Linked DNA regions of Neurospora crassa OR74A. Each later gene encodes a partner of the first gene's protein in a complex. Links are inferred from orthologs where the notes say so. Each region holds a gene or a part of one and is shown on either strand. Other genes may lie near its edges.

The links.
Region 2: NCU02978 (region 1) and NCU06347 share a complex: the UniProt entries of both Saccharomyces cerevisiae proteins name them as parts of the PAN1 actin cytoskeleton-regulatory complex. The link is inferred for Neurospora crassa OR74A from reciprocal best matches to the Saccharomyces cerevisiae genes SLA1 and END3.

Annotation. Positions count from the first base shown.
Region 1 is NC_026501.1:8,519,959-8,524,194, reverse strand, and holds the start of NCU02978 (cytoskeleton assembly control protein SLA1p), read right to left. Parts: upstream 2,815-4,236; coding exon 2,617-2,814; intron 2,476-2,616; coding exon 1,032-2,475; intron 970-1,031; coding exon 1-969. UniProt on the Saccharomyces cerevisiae protein: Component of the PAN1 actin cytoskeleton-regulatory complex required for the internalization of endosomes during actin-coupled endocytosis. The complex links the site of endocytosis to the cell membrane-associated actin cytoskeleton.
Region 2 is NC_026504.1:2,823,530-2,827,277, reverse strand, and holds NCU06347 (actin cytoskeleton-regulatory complex protein end-3), read right to left. Parts: upstream 2,515-3,748; 5' UTR 2,104-2,514; coding exon 1,867-2,103; intron 1,753-1,866; coding exon 1,518-1,752; intron 1,445-1,517; coding exon 726-1,444; 3' UTR 513-725; downstream 1-512. Other genes in the region: NCU06348 (myo-inositol-1-monophosphatase), read right to left, coding at 3,375-3,748. UniProt on the Saccharomyces cerevisiae protein: Component of the PAN1 actin cytoskeleton-regulatory complex required for the internalization of endosomes during actin-coupled endocytosis. The complex links the site of endocytosis to the cell membrane-associated actin cytoskeleton.

The DNA.
Region 1 (4,236 bases):
CCTTCTCGGGTTCCAAAGGCTGGGTAAGCAACGACAACTCCTGCATCGACTTGGTAAGAGCCGCCGGCGGAGGGGGGGCCGGCGCGTCAACCAGAGCTGGCGCAGCAGGGGCTGGAGCGGCAGCGGGTGCCGCCGCAGGAGCGGGAGCAACGGCTTGCGCAGCCGGCTCAGGGGTTTTCGTCTTGGTAGGCTTGACATCCCAAGCATCATCATCAAAGCCACTGGAAGGCTTCGAGGCAGACGGTGTTGGCGTAGCCGCAGCCGTAGGAGATGATGACTTGCCACTACCAGCACCCGAGTCCTTAGAGAAAGCGTTGGGATCAACGGTGTTGCTGACCTCGACGGGGGGCGCCGGCCTGCCCTTCTTCGTGTTGTTGCGGAGCGCACCTCCTGGCCCAGAGAAGAGTCCTCCCTCGCCCTCTTCGCCTTTCTTGTTCCGCATGTACTTGTTGTCCAGGTACCGCATGACCTTGATAATATCACCTTCACGCAAGCCCAAGTTCCTCAGCACAGTAGCATCAACATCTGGCAAGACACTTTCGTCGATAGCCTCCCGCAGGAAAGCTTGAGAATACCGTTCGCACAAACCAACCTGTATGTCACAACCAAGGAAGAAGTTAAACCAGTCGTAGTCGGGCTTCTTCGAGGAATCGATGGTGGCGCCAACCCGGGAGCTGGAACCACGGTCTCTTTCCCTGTCGCGCGTCGATCGACTAGACCTCGAAGACTCACCGGCGGATCGCTTGTTCCTAAGATCGGATAGGGGCTTGTCTTCGTCGAGAGATTCGCCAGTTACGCGCTCCACGTACTCGAGATCCTCAACTGACATCTTCGAGACGGGCACGGCGATCTGCACACCGTTCATCTTGTGGAGCCTGATCTTGCCATCCTTGACACCGAGGAACTGGGCCTCAACGCTGAAGGACTTGGATCGATCGGTCCATGTTCGCACTTTGGAAGGATCGGGCTCTGCGACAAACTGTCAGTATTCTGCATACTCTGAAAGAAAATCTGGACATGGGTGTACTTACTCGACTTGCTTGACGACTTGGAGCTGCTGTTCTGACCGGGTTCGCGCCTACTGCTTCGCTGTTTTCCTCTCCTGTTATCATCTGTGGCCGGCAAACTACTATTTCGTTCTTGCAATTGCAATCCTGGGCCTACCTCAGAGTTCCTCTTCTGCTTCTCCTTCTCTTCCTCGCGCTGGGCAGCCTTGATAGCCTCCTTGGTTAAGCGCGCCTCTTCCAGGCGGTTCTTCTCGACTTCCGACATGCCCACGGCAATACCGGTAACGGCCGTCTCCGGCTCTTCCCACACGCCGTTGATCTCAATGTAGCTGCTGGGAACCACACCCTCCTTGCCGTTCTTGACGCGACGCACCATCCACCACTCGTCACTCTTGGTATCGTCGAGAATAACTACCTCATCACCAACGCCGACAGTAACCTCGTCCTCACCCTGAGCCATAAAATCATACAGCACAGCACCCTTCTTCTTCTTGCCTCCGGCTCCCGCGGCAATGATCTCCTTGAGTCCCTCGAGGCGCACAGTTCCGGCCATGTCGCCCAGCATCGCGACGATCTCTTCAGCGGTGTCCTTGGCGCCCGCATGAAAGTCAACGCTCTTGCTTGGTCGTACGAGCTCCATAAACACGTGCTTGCCCTCCCGAGAGTAGTGTGTCATGCAATCGGCCCGCCATTCCTGCGATGGACCGTCGTGGGAATGTTCCGGCGCTATGAGAATCATTCCCGTCCTCAGGTTGATGCCCAGCGTGGTAGGCATCTTCTTCTTCTTGCCCATCACCGACGTCATCTCGTTGATGTTGTACATGTGGAAACCGCCAGGGGTAAGCGCGGCGGTCTGAGGAGGAGGAGCCTGGGAGGTTCGCGGGCTAATGCCATAGTCGTCGGTGTCGTGGGCTGCTGACTGAGCGGGCGGCGGCACCGGTCTGTAGGATTTTTGCTCCGGAGCAATTTGCGAATCGCCCCGCGGGCGGCTCGGAAGCGGCGGGGACCTTACCTCATTTTCGTAATCTTCCGAAGCGTATGACTGTCGCTGGGGCTGGGGAACACTGATAGGCGCTGGAGGTTGGAAAGAAGAGCGGTTGGCCATAACTCCGGCGATGGCGGCGGCAGCAGGGTTGGAAGCGGCGACAGGGGTGCTTGGCTCGGAGGGCACACTCCTGGCGGGCAGGGGCGGGCTGGCTACATCGACGCTGACGCTGGGTGTCCTCTGCGGAAGAGGAGGAGGGGGGGCAGTCGCTTCTTCCTCCTCCTCGACCTGGCCAGCCTGGCCATCGCCCAACTCGATGTAGTTGGCGGGCGCGAAGCCGTAGTCGCCATCGTGGCCAACAAGGATCCAATCGGGGTCGGAAGTGTCGAAGACTGAGAGCTGCGCATCCTCGGGGAAGGAGAGCTCTTCGTCGGTCTGACGCGTGTACTCGTAGAGCGCGCGAGCGTATGATACGGGTTTCGCCTGGCGTCATGGTGTGCGCGGTCAGTTCAAGTGATCCATCTGAATGCCAAGGCCAGCCAGCTTGCTATCCTCCAAGCAGGTACAAGTGCCCAGATGACACTGCACGCAATCCAGATCTAGACCTCGGACCACATTACATACCTCCTCAATGTAGTTGTTGGGGATCAAGCCGACGGGCTCGTCATCGTCGGCAGCATTGGCCTTCTTCTTCGCCTTCCACCAATCGTCCTCCTGACTCTTTTCCAACACATAGAGAATGTCGCCCTCGGAGATTGTCAACTCGCCCTCGCCCTGGGGCGTGTAATCGTAAATGGCCCTATAGACGCCGAGGAAGCCCATGGCTGCTGCGGGAAATCTGCTCGTATGATGCCCTTTGGATGGCAGCCGACATGAACCGACGCAAGGGAGTTGCTGTTGCGAAGAAAGGAATTGGGGAAAACGAAAGGCGCCGTGGTGCGAATGGTGGCTGGTGGTGTGGTATCACAAGTCTTGGTTCTGCCGGGGAAGGGGGGGTGTGTGTGTGTCCGGTAGGAAATGGAATCAAGGAGCGAGCGGCGGCGGCGGCGGCGGCAGCAGCGTGTGAGAGCGGGTGACGCTGGGTTGGTGACGGGTGACGGGGGTGCGGCGCTGCGGCTGCCGGGCAGAAGGTGAACGAGGATGGAAGCTCTTCTAGAGTGTACGGGTGCTCCTGAAGCAAGGGGTAGCCGCTGAAGCAAGCACTGTAGGTATGCCCGCTTGCGCGTAGGATTGCGGCCGGCCAAGGCCCTCCTGTATGGTACCTACGGATAGGTAGCCTGTAATTTCGAGCGAGGGAACGTCGGGAAGATGTCGACGACAGCGAGCACGCGCGGCTGCGGTGACCCTGCGAGGAATTTGACCTTTATCGTGATCAAGAGTCTGGAGTTGCGGTCGAAATGGTCGAGCCAAGGGAGACGTTGGAAATTACTCTATGTCCAAGTCGTGGACCCAAGTGCTCGTTTAAAGGAGCCGGTCCGGGGGGTGTGTGTTCGGGGGGGTGGGGGGGTTCGCTGAATTTGGGGGAATTTAGACGATGCAACGAAGCGGTCGCGAAGACACCGCGATCTTCATGGATGCTATCACCAAAATGTATATTTATGTAATTGCAATGTCCACGGAAAATCCATTCGAGATCAAATCAAGCGTAGGTAGGAAGTGCACTATTGACCCGAGGACAAATGAACACCTTGTTCGTACCTTACAATTTGAAACCCCAAGAACAGGTACGTAACCTCCCAGCGCTGGAGGTGTATGTACCTAGCTTTTATTTGGAATAACCGCAGCGCATTTCGAGGGTTCAGGTCAACCCCAATGACCGACCAACAACATCGAAGCAAGGTACTGGCGCAGGAACGAAGGATTCTTGTCCAAATTGAACCCGAAAGAGTGAGATCGTGCAGGAGCAAGCACAGCCCAGCCGCATCTCGAGCGCTGCTGGTACGGCATAGCACCTGAATAAGTACCTCGAAAGCGCAACTTTCACTTTGTTACACAGTATCTATTGATTGGCCGTAATTGTGGCTTAATTGTGACAGTCAACTTGGGCTCTTCTTCACGCCCAACTTTCCCATCAATCAATCAAGAAACAGCAGCCAGCTGGTCCCGACCGGCAAACCCGGGCATTCATCAGCGATCTACTGTAACCGCACGTGTAGATAGCGTCATATCCCGGGTTTTCCCTCTTGACATTTGGGCGCTTGGTGGATCGTTCATTTCAGGTCGGGGTCCGCTGGGCATGGGAGC
Region 2 (3,748 bases), on another chromosome or scaffold:
ACTCATCGATCCTACGATAGCATCCACAACACCCTCTTCAACTCATTTTCAACCTGACAGCCTCACTTTACGCTTATTTATCGTGGACTCAGCTGCTCAAACCAGTAATTACATGATCCAGATGGGCCCATGTGAAGATGCAATTCATTCGTACCTTTTGAGATGTTCCAACCACAGCAACTCCGAAGCAACATATTGCTTGTGCCTGCATATTTGGCAGGACATGTATATCAAGGTACCAGTGGAATAAGACTGGAAATGGCATAAACTAGGATTTCCGATGCCTCTTCACGCTGATGAAATCGAAAAGATATCTATACGGTCAAACTATTCTACTCCTTTCACATTTCCCGACAGCCTCTAGCGGCAACAAGCAGAGCCACCATGTTGTTGCTTAGACAAGCGCTGAGTGCAAAGGCGCGTGGATTGTGATGCTTAAATTCCCCTGAAAAGCACAGTCAACATGATACCTTTCATTGTAATATACCATAGCACCTGGGAAAATTACACAGTCAAGATATGCGCCATCAGGCAGCTTGTTGTTACTCCACTGAATGCCATTAAGAGATTATGCTGTCTTAGAAAGATGAAACGTAACCGATGAACCCAAATCATTCCTGTCCTGGCAAACTGCCCATGGTCTTCGCCTCGAGGAACCCAGCAAAATATCACAGCCCGCTCTCTCTACCTCTTCAACCCATCTCCCTGTACCGACCCTCAACAGCTTACCTCCCAACCTTCTCCTCCTCAATCTCCCTCTTCAACTGCTCCAACACGTCCTGCCTGCTCCTCAAATGCGCCTCCAGCCCTTCCACCTGCTCCTTAACCGTCGCCAAATCATCCGCCACGCTCTTCAGGCTCCCACCAGCCGCCGCCTTCCCCTTACCCTCCTCCAAGTCCCTCAATTCCTTGCGCTTATAATCCAACAGCTGTTCCAGCTCCCTCTTGACCAGTGCCGGCTTTGTATCCCTTTTCCCGCCCCTACGACGGTTCGCCGCCTCCTCAACCTTGGCCATCTTCTCGTCCAGCTCCGCCAGCTGCTTCTTCAGCCTGACTTCCTCCCACTGATCGTCCGTCTGCTCGGACGAGAAGTCGGTGCCGGCCGTCTTGAACGAGGAACGGCCTAGGCGCGTCAGGTACTGATCGCCGAACTTGGCCTTGCGGCCGGTAGAGGTCTCATCGTCGGCCTTTTGGGCCCAGCGCGACTGCGACGGGTCGTTGACGTTGTATGTGATCTTGTTGCGCTCGAACGAGGCCCGCAGAGAAGCGGGAACGGTGCGCGGGATGCGGAAACCTTCGTGGCGGTAGTTGAGGATGTGCAGGAAGGCGAGGCAGGCATCTTTGTTGATGGTCGAGGAGGCCGACGGGTTGACCAGGTTCCAGGCCGAGCGGATGTCGGTGTCGGGAACGGAGAGGGAGTCGTAGAGGTCTTGGAGGGCGGCGACTGCGGGTAGGTAGGTAGATTAGTATGAGGTTAGGGACCGGAAGGGAAGGGAAAGGAAGGGATGTAAACATACAGGAAACCTCGCCGCGCATATCTCGGTTCTCTTGATAGATTTGCTCGTACTTGGACTTATCCGCCGGGCTCATGTACCAGTCAAACCCATCCTTCAAGCCGGGGGTATCGTCTTCATCTTCGACTTGCTCGAATTTCGGCGCCTTGCCGGTTAGCGCGCGGTTCGCTTGCACAAGGTGGGCTTTAGATTCGGGGACAAGCCAGTCTGGGAGAGTTGTCGGGACATCAGCGTATTCCTGTTACCGTCTCCCCCTGTTAGTTCTCTGATACTGCTGCTATTACTGCTCCCATGCTTGCTTGCTTGCTCGCTCGCTCGCTCGCAGCTTCAGGACAGAAGGAGGTAGACGAACCCCGTTCAAAAGGTCAAAGATGACCCTCATCGCAACACAAAATTCCTCGAAATCAAGGTTTCCGTCATTGTCCACATCGGCCAGATCCCAAACACGCTCCAGCTGGTCATCGCGCAGGCCACTGTTCTTCAGCACCGGCGCCGCCTGCTCGCCCGTCAGGAACTTGCCGCCATTTGTTCGCGCCGAGAAGATGTTCCAGTACGTCTCGATTTCCTGCGCTTCGATTTTTGGCGGCATTGTCGCGGTTGGCTTCGTAGTAATTATATGCGTGTAAGTGGGTTGGAAATTTGGCTAGCAGCTACCTCTCAAGCTGAAGGGCCGTGAATCGCAGCGGCAACCTAAGTCCGGGGGCAACGGCTTCCGGTTCCTGTCCGGTGGTAATGCGGTCGTCGACGGGAGCGCTGATTGATTGACCGACTTGGAAATGATGAGAGCAATTGACGATTCGATTAAGCGAGACGGTCACGGAAATAAGTGGAGATTGATACTCGGGTCAATGTTAGATAATGGAAATGAAGTTCGATTGGGTTTGAGGTTATCTCGAGGAAGTCAGGTTGGGTCGGTTGTTGCCAGTGTACAGCCCCGTAGCGCGGTGTGATTACAGTGGGAAGTTGTCAGGCGGATCCCAGGGCAGCTGCAACGTCCAAGCTCCGTCTCTTGTTGTCGGTGGATGATGCCTCGCAGTATGACCGGGACCGGGGGGATGGCCCGATGTGCGCACATGGCTGTTGTGCCTTGCCGTAGCTTCGAGGTACATGGGTCTCCACTTTCTCTCTGCCCCTGAGCCCCTTTTTCATCCAAACAATGGCATCTCGTTGAACTTGTGTCAACTGCATGATGTGATGTTCGTCGTCTTCACGTCCATGCTATAAACTCGAAACCACGCACTCGAGGATTCAAACTGTTTGTGTTTCTTCCCAGTGAGCGACCAGCGTGGTCCAGGTTATAGAGGTTACAGATAAAGCGCACATGCTCACTAGGTAAACCACAGCAACCAGCTCAGCTACCAGTTGGTGCCGATTCCTTCCAGCATTGAAAGGAATAGCAATACTCCAGGCCATGGCATCAAACATGTCTAACTTTATGAGTCATAAAGTCGCAGAAAACCTTTATTCACATCAACGGTCCGATGGTGTAGTTGGTTATCACGTCAGTCTAACACACTGAAGGTCCCCAGATCGAGCCTGGGTCGGATCAAATGCGAATTCTTTTTTTTCCTTCTTTATCAACCTTTCTGCAACGTACCTTGCCACATCTTCACACATCAAGGAACGAAATCACCTTCAGTTTTCTTCTTGATCGGCCATAGGACCGTGATGCAGCTGTCACTCACATTGCTGACGGGCGAACGACCCTTTCCCGGATATCGCACCCCAATCCAACCCTTCTAACGATAGCCTTAACTCATCTAGTCGACATCTTTCCAAATCCAATATGCCTGCTTATTACTTGACCCAATGCCTGATAACCTAAGCCCGTACCCAAAACCGCGTCATGTTCACCAACCATTAGTGCTTATATTCCATCCTGTCATCCCCAACAACCCCCCAAAACTCCTCCACAATCTCCTTCTGTCCGCTCTCCGCTCCCCTGACGGCCAAATACAACCTTGAATCCAACTCCGGGTTCCAATCCCCCGGGTTTGCACTAACCATAATTCCACCCGCCTCCTCGAGAATACACCACCCCGCCGTCACATCCCACGCATAACACCCGCCCTCCCAGTACATATCGACCTGACCAGCCGCCACTGCGCAGATGTTCAAGGCCGCGCTGCCCAAGCTGCGCAAGCTGTGCACCATACACCCGCCATTCTCCTTGGCAGCCGTCAACTGTCTAAACACCCTGGTCTTGATATCAAAGTTCTTTCCCTCGCGCTGAC